Mus musculus: one gene and its partner. The main gene of each other region encodes a partner of the protein of the gene in region 2 in a complex. Links are inferred from orthologs where the notes say so. Each region holds a gene or a part of one and is shown on either strand. Other genes may lie near its edges.

Region 1 (4,186 bases), on a different chromosome or scaffold from region 2:
CTGTACACACGCACACACACACACACACACATCACTATCAGTGAACCATTTTTAAAATGCAGTAACAGCTTCCTCATACAGCAATAATATCAGGGGTTAGGAGGAAAAATGCAGGTACTTCCAAAAGATTCTGAGGAACAAGATTAAGAATGTTCTGGCTAGTTTTATATCAGCTTGGCACAAGCTAAAGCCCTTTCTCAGAGACAGGAACCTCAATTAAGAAAAACGCCCTCATAAGATCCAGCTATAGAGCATTTTCTTCAGTAGTGATCGATGAGGGAGGGCTGAGCCCATTGTGGGTGGTGCCATCCCTGGGCTGGTGGTCCTGGGTTCTATAAGAAAGCAGGCTGAGCAAGCCAGTAAGCAGCATCCCTCCATGGCCTCTGCATCACCAGCTCCTGCCCTCGGGATCCTGCCCTGCTTGAGTTCCTGTCCTGAATCCCTATGATGATGATCTGTGATGTGGACGCCAAAGCTGAATGGCCCTTCCTCCCCAACTTGCTTTTTGGTTATGGTGTTCATCTTAGTAATAAAAACCCTAACAAAGAGCTTATTTTCATTTGAATTAATATATTAGTTTAAGATGTATAAATAAAATATGAGTGAGGTTTTTTTGGGGGGGGATGGGGGACAAACCAAAAATATATATATAAAAAATAAAGACTGTAAAATTCCTGTACCAAGTTTTTGAAAACTACCAGTGAAGTGACCTTGCAGAAACACGTACTCCAAGGTCATATGGTTCTCCTGGCATCCTGACAGGGCGACGGAGGCCCAGCCCTGAGTTCTGTGCTTGCTTCATTGGCCTGGCCTCAGAGTACAGCAGCTTCTTTGTGAACAGGCATGCATGCCTGAGAGAAGCAAACAGCCTTTGCAGTGGGCACCTGATGCCACAGCCACAGCCCGGGGATTCAGGGAGGGCCGCTCGATTATCTGAGGAACTTCATTAACATTAAGCCATTAAGGGTGGCTCTGGGATCATTTTAGAAACCAGCCTCTTAGGCAGAGACATTTGGCAGCTCCTAGCCTCGAGTTCTGATCCTTAAACCAGAACCTGCACTGTCATAATTAAACAAAGGTTCAAAAGTCATTTCCATGTTGAACATGTTACATTTTAGAATACAACTTTCGTAGCTTTTTACATTTTTATTAAGGATCTCCCAAAAGAAACGAAGGTTTTCGCCCTGTATTGGCTCTCTGGTTCTTTGGTTTGTTCATGTTTTCCAAAGACACCTGAAGTACCTCATATAAGAAGAACAACCCAGATAGACAAAATGTAACATTCTCTCTTAGTCTCTTAACTTGAGTTTTTAGTTACTGTTGGTCTTTTAGCTAAAAGAAAATCCTATGTGTCTGGGTGTTTTGCCTACAGGTATGTCTCTGTAGCGTGCATGCCTGGTGCCCGCAGAGGCCAGAAGAAGGTGTTAGATCACTGGGAACTGGAATTACAGTCAGTAATTCCATGTGGATGCTGGACTGAACCATCTCAACAGCCCCGGTTACTGTTTTTGTTTGTCTTTTTTTTTTATGAAAGAAAATATGTTTAGTCCCATGGGGAGGGGAGGGAGGAGAGGGGAGGGAAGGACAGGCACAGAATTATCTGCCCTTTTTCCTTTTTAGATTGAGATGGGGGTCTCACTGTCCCCAGATTCTCTTCTAAATAATGATCTCCTTGTCTCTACTCTCCCAAGGGTTGGCTCATACCCAGCACAGTTATTGATTTAAAAAAAAAGTCTTCAGAGATTCTGTGTCATACTGATACTGCTCAAAGTCCTAACGGCTGGGGGAGGGAGAGCTAAATGATCTTTTTGTGGATAAGGACTAAGACTTAAAAGTAAATGGTGAAACACCATATCCCATAGGCAAAAAATAAATAAATAAATAAAAATTTATTTTTTCATGACTATATTAAAAATTCAAAAATCTCCCTATTCTTTCAACTAAGGAAGCATTGGTTTGTTGTCTGCCTTCTAAGACAAACGGATGAGTCTTTATAAAGAAACACAGGGCTGGAGCTTCTTGGGATGGCACTGCCTGTAAGGTGAGGGGTCCCCACAGAGACCACCCTTCCCCAGGAGGGATGACAGGAAAGTCAGGAGCCACCCCCAAACCTTCATCTCTCTGTCCCAATTCATAATGATTTGAAAAGTTTCAACTGCTTTGGATTTTTCTTTTTTGAGCAGTGTCTGGAGATGTAGCTCTTGGCGTTTCGAATAGGAAAACTGGAAAAGCTCACAGGGGTGCTCCAGGGACCCCGGGAAAAGTTGCCATGAAGAAAGGGGAGCTGCGGTTGGAGATTTGGGGTAACCCTATTCCAGGAAAGGAAATCCTTCCCTTAGGACTCAGAGAAGACGCACTGTGCGCCATCTCCAAAAACATCGGCAGTCATTCTGAAGTTCTAACTATGGCCTAAGGTTTCCCTGGTTTAATGAAAACAAAACCAAAGACAATCCCCCCGCTGTAACACAGACACTGCATAGTCAGTGTCAGCCGCAGTCACAAGGAAACAGTAAAGGCAGCCTAATCAGCAGCTCTGAAATGCCACCAAATGTCCCCAAAGGTCTCTTAAAAAAAAAAATTCTTAAAGCTCAGTTCCCATTCTATCCCTGTCACCCCTCACCCTCCGAGGAAAGAAAAAAGCAGGTTTTCTCTTGGGTCCTGTCAGTGGCTTTCTCACCTCCTGGTCACCTTTGCTGCTGGAGTCCTCTCTGGCTTCAGTGTCCGAGTAACAGGAGTGTAGACAGAACAGCTTCTTATTCTTCCTGCAGAGAGAACTGGGTGTGGGCTTGGCGCAGTCCACTGCAGGCTGAGGCTGCCAATGGGGGCCAAGGATAGGGAGGAGTTAGACACCCAGGCCTGCATACAGGGCCCCATTGAGTGGTACCCTGGGGATCCACTGGGCAGCCACAACTGGACTTGATCTAGAAAGAATACGGGTCTGTTGGGTAGGAAGTGTAGAGTCAGCTTCTCTGCACCTTTTAAATGTATTACATGAACATTGGCCCAGTTCCAAAGGCAAGGCTGGGGTTGGGAAGAGGAGAGAGACAACGTGGGTGAATTGATTTAAACAGCAAATCTGCAGCCAAGAACTGGAAACTTCTCATGCTGAGTGCTGGAGACTGTGTGGCCCTGACTGGCTTCTAAGGAGGCCTCTTGAACATCTTGCTTGTCTGCCAGCTTCCTGGTCCCCTCCTGCAGGTATGCCATGCTGGGGCTGGTGATGCTGGGTAGTGGTTACCCCCAGACTCCTCTTTGAGCCCAGTATTCTCAGGGACCAGCATGCAGTAAGTTAGTTACATACTTAGTACTTGTTGCACCTAGGGAAAGACCTGCCAGCTCTTGTCTTGGGGCTCTCTCTCCCTACCCTGGTCAAAGGTTATGAGTTGTCTGAGCCAGAAATGCCTGTCCTGTGCTGTGCTCTTTTTGCATAGGGAAGAAATGTTGCACCTCTTGTCAAGGCACAAAATGACCCCAGAAAGCAGTCTGTTCCTAACTGCCTATCTTCAGCAGCACTACACCTGAGCTTCAAATGGCATCAATTGTGCGCTCTTGCCCAGAAATGAGCAGTTGAGCTGGAGAGATGGCTCAGAGGTTAAGAGCATTGGCTGCTTTTCCAGAGGTCCTGAGTTCAATTCCCAGCAACCACATGGTGGCTCACAATCATCTATAATGAGGTCTGGTGCCCCCTTCTAGTGTAGAGGTGTACATGCAAGCAGAACACTGTATACATAATATCTTTTTAAAAATAAAAATAAAAAAAAGAAATCAGAAGTGAGCAGTCCTTTTGAATAATCACACAGAAGCAATGGCCCAAGCTGACCAAGCAAGAGAGGATAGCTTAGTCACACTTCCCTTTGCCCCTCGTGTTCCAAGTGTCTGTGGGAAGAGCTACATGACAAAAGACACCCAAATATCACAGAGACCAAGGGGTTGACTAGACATGTTAGGGCTCCAGTAAAGCTTCTCCACCTTGAGGAAAGGGGGCAGTGTCTCTTAGCTTTGGGGCAGAGGTATAAACTCCTACTCTGGTTCCTCCCTATTACAGGGGGCAACTCACCATTTATCTACATGAGATCAAAGCCACTGGTTCACAAAGATTAGGTCCCCTACTCTTCTTAGTCCCCAGTAGACAATAAAAGGGAGACTCAGGGAGACCATGATAATCATGACTGGGAAGGTTCCCTCA
Region 2 (4,210 bases):
TCTGCTACCCATTTCCTGTGAAATCTAAAACCAATTTTTTCTGGCCATCCTCCTGCTCCTGAACACCTACCTGCCTGTTCCTTTCAAACTATTCCTAATTCCTCAAGCTCAAAATATCATCATCTCCTCTCAAATACTGAGCAGGCAGCACACACCAGCTGATATGGGGCCCGACACACATACAGCAGAGGACTGCCTGGCCTGGCCTCAGTGAGAGAAGATGCACATAACCCTCAGGAGACTTGAGGGCCCAGGGAGTGGGCAGGTCTGGTGGGATGGGGGTGGGGTGGGGATGGGGTGGGGCCATCCTCTTGGAGATGGGGGAGGAGGAGGAATGGGATGAGGAACTGTGGGTGAGCCGAGAGAGGGATAATGACTGGACTGTAAAAAAAGATTAAAGAATAATAACAATAAAATAAAATCTTCATCTCATGTTTCACAACCAAGCTTTCAGCAAATCTCACTAAGCTTAGCTTCCACTATATATACTGCCTCTAGAGCTACCACTCATGTCCAAGCCAGCATTTTCAGACTACTGTAGGAGCCTCCCAAGTTCACTCCAACTCTCCTGGCCTCCATATGCCAGCTTACTTAACCTGCACCAGACCAGCCACTACAGTTCCCACTAAAACTACACCTGAGCTTTAGGTATCCCATGGCTCCATTCTTCTTTCATATAAACAAAATATTAAGACTCTAAAATTGTACAATCACTGTTTTGGCATGCCTGAAATTTTGGAAGAATTTCATGTTTCACATGCCAATTTAAAAAGTTGCATACATTTTCAAAAGTATATTCTAGAAAATAGTAAAAATAATTGGCTGCCATGGATATAAACCCATGCTAGCTAGCCCAATTCACACAACTTACCAAATTAGTTACTTATTTAGTATTTACTTCAGAATCATCAAAATTTAAGTACGTGTTTTAAAAATCTAGACATAGAATTAATGTTATCAGTTCATTTTCCTTAAAAATCCTGATGCCAAGACTAAAAGCTAAAGAGGAAATTAGCCAAAACTGTCACAATGTCATATATTTGCAATGCTTTCAAAGCCCAACAGTGATTTTAAAAAGAAATTAAACAACATGCTCTTATTGAATTTTTAAAAATCTATACAATTCAAGCTAATGAAATATTTTATTATACATAGTAAAAGTGGTGTTTAAAAAAAAAAAAATTCCAGGCCCAGATGTCTGCAGGAGTACGTGAGGAATGGATTCCACTCGAGTATAAGCAGCAGAGCTACTGAATGAAACCACAAATCCACCAACTCCTTACAGTAAACGCTAACATTCACCGAGGCGTGAATTCCTGTGGTGGCAGTAGATATATTTTTAAAGTATTACAAACATGCTTATGATGCATAGGAAAATGGAGAACAAAAGATGCAGTTGCATACCATGTGGACTCCCAAATTTTCTAATTTACAACTTGTTAAGAATGACAATATACAAAGAAAGTATTTTAAAATAGTGTATGATTCACTGGTGATTTTTTTTTTACTCAAATAAATACCAAATGTTGCCATTTTAATGTCACACTGATATTCAGTTTCCAATCCAAGGGGAGGGAGAATCAACTGAGACATGTTCATGAGTTCAGGATTATATATATATTACAATCTGCCTTATAATACACTTGTGGCTTTGTGATAAAAATAACTCAGGAACATATGGAATTCAAGCTAATTTGCATAACTGTCACAAGAAAAAAGCATTAAATGCATTTCTGAAATAAGTATTCTCATTTAATTTCAGAATCTCAAAACAGCAACAGACCTTGGCCTTGTTTTAAAAAAGTTTAGTTAGACACTAAGCTAGCTAAATAACCTTGCTGAGAAGGTTTAACGTAACTCGTTAGAAAATGCTCTCCCTCTAATCTCCATCTTCCATGCTGGAAGAGGTGAAAGGAAAAGGTAGACAATTTCTTTAGCAGCATACATGGCTAAGTCCATCAACCACCTTAACTAGAGTGCCCATTACTGACTGACCCCACTAAAACTACCTGGGCTAACATCAAAAGCTGCCCCTTTCACAAGCCAAAGACAACTTCAGGGTTACAGTAAAGAAGGTACTTTTGAGATATTTCAAACCCTTTAGACATGACCCAGAGGGATCACCTCTTCATTGTAGGAGAAGGAACAGAGAGAGAGAGAAAGAAAGAGAGAGAGAGAGAGACTTCGAAAGGAGGAACAGAGTAAGATACTTATCTAAACTCATGTCCAACCCTCTGAACAAAGGAAATGGAACAGGTTATTAGCTAAGCTCTGTGCTCTAACCACACTACTTAATTACAGTGATCTTAGATGCAACAGCCCACCTCACTGGGCAGCTGTCAGCTCAGAATACTTTTGCAATAATTTTTGTAACGCGAAGACACTAAAACAATCTGCTCATGCAATTTTCATTTATGCATTCTGCATCTCTTTGCCAATCTTGTAGCTAAGGATCTTGTTCCAGTCGATCTTAGTACGTGTCACTGGCAACTGTCGACGTAAGGCTTTGAAGGTAGTGTCCGACATCGTCTGATAATTCTCACTGATGGCAGTCTACAAGAAACAGTGGTTAGATGTTTAAATCAGGAAACAACTACTTACAACACAGGACATTTTCAGAATACTCTTTAAGAAGCACACCTCACTGTTTAACAGTGAAATAAAAAACCCACAAAATGGACTTAAAGAACTTAAGACCCATCCCTCAGTGAACAGATACTTTAGAAAATCATACCTGGTATTCATTTTCTGCAGCTTCTACAATCTTTATAAATTCTTTTGCTGTTTGCACCTCATTCTGAAATTAAAAACAAAAAAAAGGAAAATTAAATCTCTCTATTTTTTAATTAGTTTTTTTCTCCATGGCTGGAATTGAACTAAGGGCCTTATACATGTTAAAAAAGCATTTCCACTAACCCACTATTTTTAAAGCCATTTAGCTCTTACTGCAGCTAGGCAAGGTAGTGCATACCTTTAATCCCAGACTTGGGGTGCAGAGGCAAAGACAGATGGGTCTCTATGAATTCAAGGTCAACTTGATCTATATAGTGAGTTCAAGACAGCCAAAGCTACATAATGAGACCCTGTCTTGAAAATAAATCCTAGGAACTAAGTAACAAACACCATTAATTCTAGCTGTGAGGTAGCTAAAATCCTCTTCTGGTGTCTACAAGAACCCATGTCAAAAAGCTGTCATTTTTCTCCTTTGGTGGCAGCATCTGGTCCAATGTAACCATAAACTTTTTAAAAGTCAATACCTCTGTAAAATTAATATTTACTTTATACTAGTACTTTTATATACAAGCACAAATATCTACAGGAAAATGTTACTGCTGATTACACTATTAGTATATTTGTAGTAGTAAAAAAATTGACAAGAAAATAGATGCAAAGACAACTAAAAGAATGTTGAAAACTTTGAGAAAGAAAATTCAAATACAAAAGCTCTTGAATTTGAAGGAATTTAAAATATTTAGTATTGTTTAAAAGTTAAGTACAGGGGCTGGTGAGATGGCTCAGCAGGTAAGAGCACCTACTGGTCTTCCGAAGGTCCTGAGTTCAAATCCCAGCAACCACATGCTGGCTCACAACCATTCGTAACAAGATCTGATTCCTCTTCTGGAGTGTCTGAAGACAGCTACACTATACTTACACATAATAAACAAACAAACAAACAAACAAACAAATCTTAGAAAAAAAAGTTAGGTACAGAGTCATGGACTTATCTTCAATGACCTTGTTTTAGGCATTGGTTTCCATTTCAATAATAAAAAGCACACATAGAAGAAATAAATGAATACAGTAAGACAGTATAGTAGCTTTGTTTTGCAAATGACTGTGTAAGAAAGCTGGAAAGACATCACACAGAAAGGTAAAAAGGGAGCCAGGTGTAATGGCACCTGTCTTTAATCCTAGTACTTGGGAGGCAAAGGAAGATGGATCTCTGTGAGTTTGAGGCCAGCTTGGTCTACAAAGCAAGTTCCAGTTCAACCAGGGAGTTTATAGAGAAACTGTGTCTCAAAAAACAAAAACAAACAAACAAAAAACTAAAAAAGGTGAAATTATTACAAATGACGTGATCCCAAACATGCATCTAGAATATAGTAAAAGCACAAATAAGTAATTAAGAAATTGCCAACAGGGGCTATAGAGATGGCTCAGCTTGGCTCCCCAGAGAATGTGGGTTCTAGTCCCAGCAAACATGGTAGGA

Evidence for each region.
Region 1: the proteins of Capza2 (region 2) and S100b are in contact, whole or in part, in a crystal structure (PDB 3RM1), measured with the Bos taurus proteins. The link is inferred for Mus musculus from reciprocal best matches to the Homo sapiens genes CAPZA2 and S100B. Residues at the interface, in NP_001013016.1 of Bos taurus: Thr267, Lys268, Ile269, Trp271, Ile274, Leu275; in NP_001029727.1 of Bos taurus: Ile37, His43, Phe44, Leu45, Glu46, Ile48, Lys56, Val57, Thr60, Phe77, Met80, Ile81, Ala84, Cys85, Phe88.

The regions. Positions count from the first base shown.
Region 1 is NC_000076.6:76,252,450-76,256,635, reverse strand, and holds the start of S100b (protein S100-B), read right to left. Parts: upstream 2,801-4,186; 5' UTR 2,678-2,800; intron 1-2,677. UniProt on the Homo sapiens protein: Small zinc- and- and calcium-binding protein that is highly expressed in astrocytes and constitutes one of the most abundant soluble proteins in brain.
Region 2 is NC_000072.6:17,663,638-17,667,847, reverse strand, and holds the end of Capza2 (F-actin-capping protein subunit alpha-2), read right to left. Parts: intron 2,798-4,210; coding exon 2,735-2,797; intron 2,554-2,734; coding exon 2,413-2,553; 3' UTR 876-2,412; downstream 1-875. UniProt on the Homo sapiens protein: F-actin-capping proteins bind in a Ca(2+)-independent manner to the fast growing ends of actin filaments (barbed end) thereby blocking the exchange of subunits at these ends.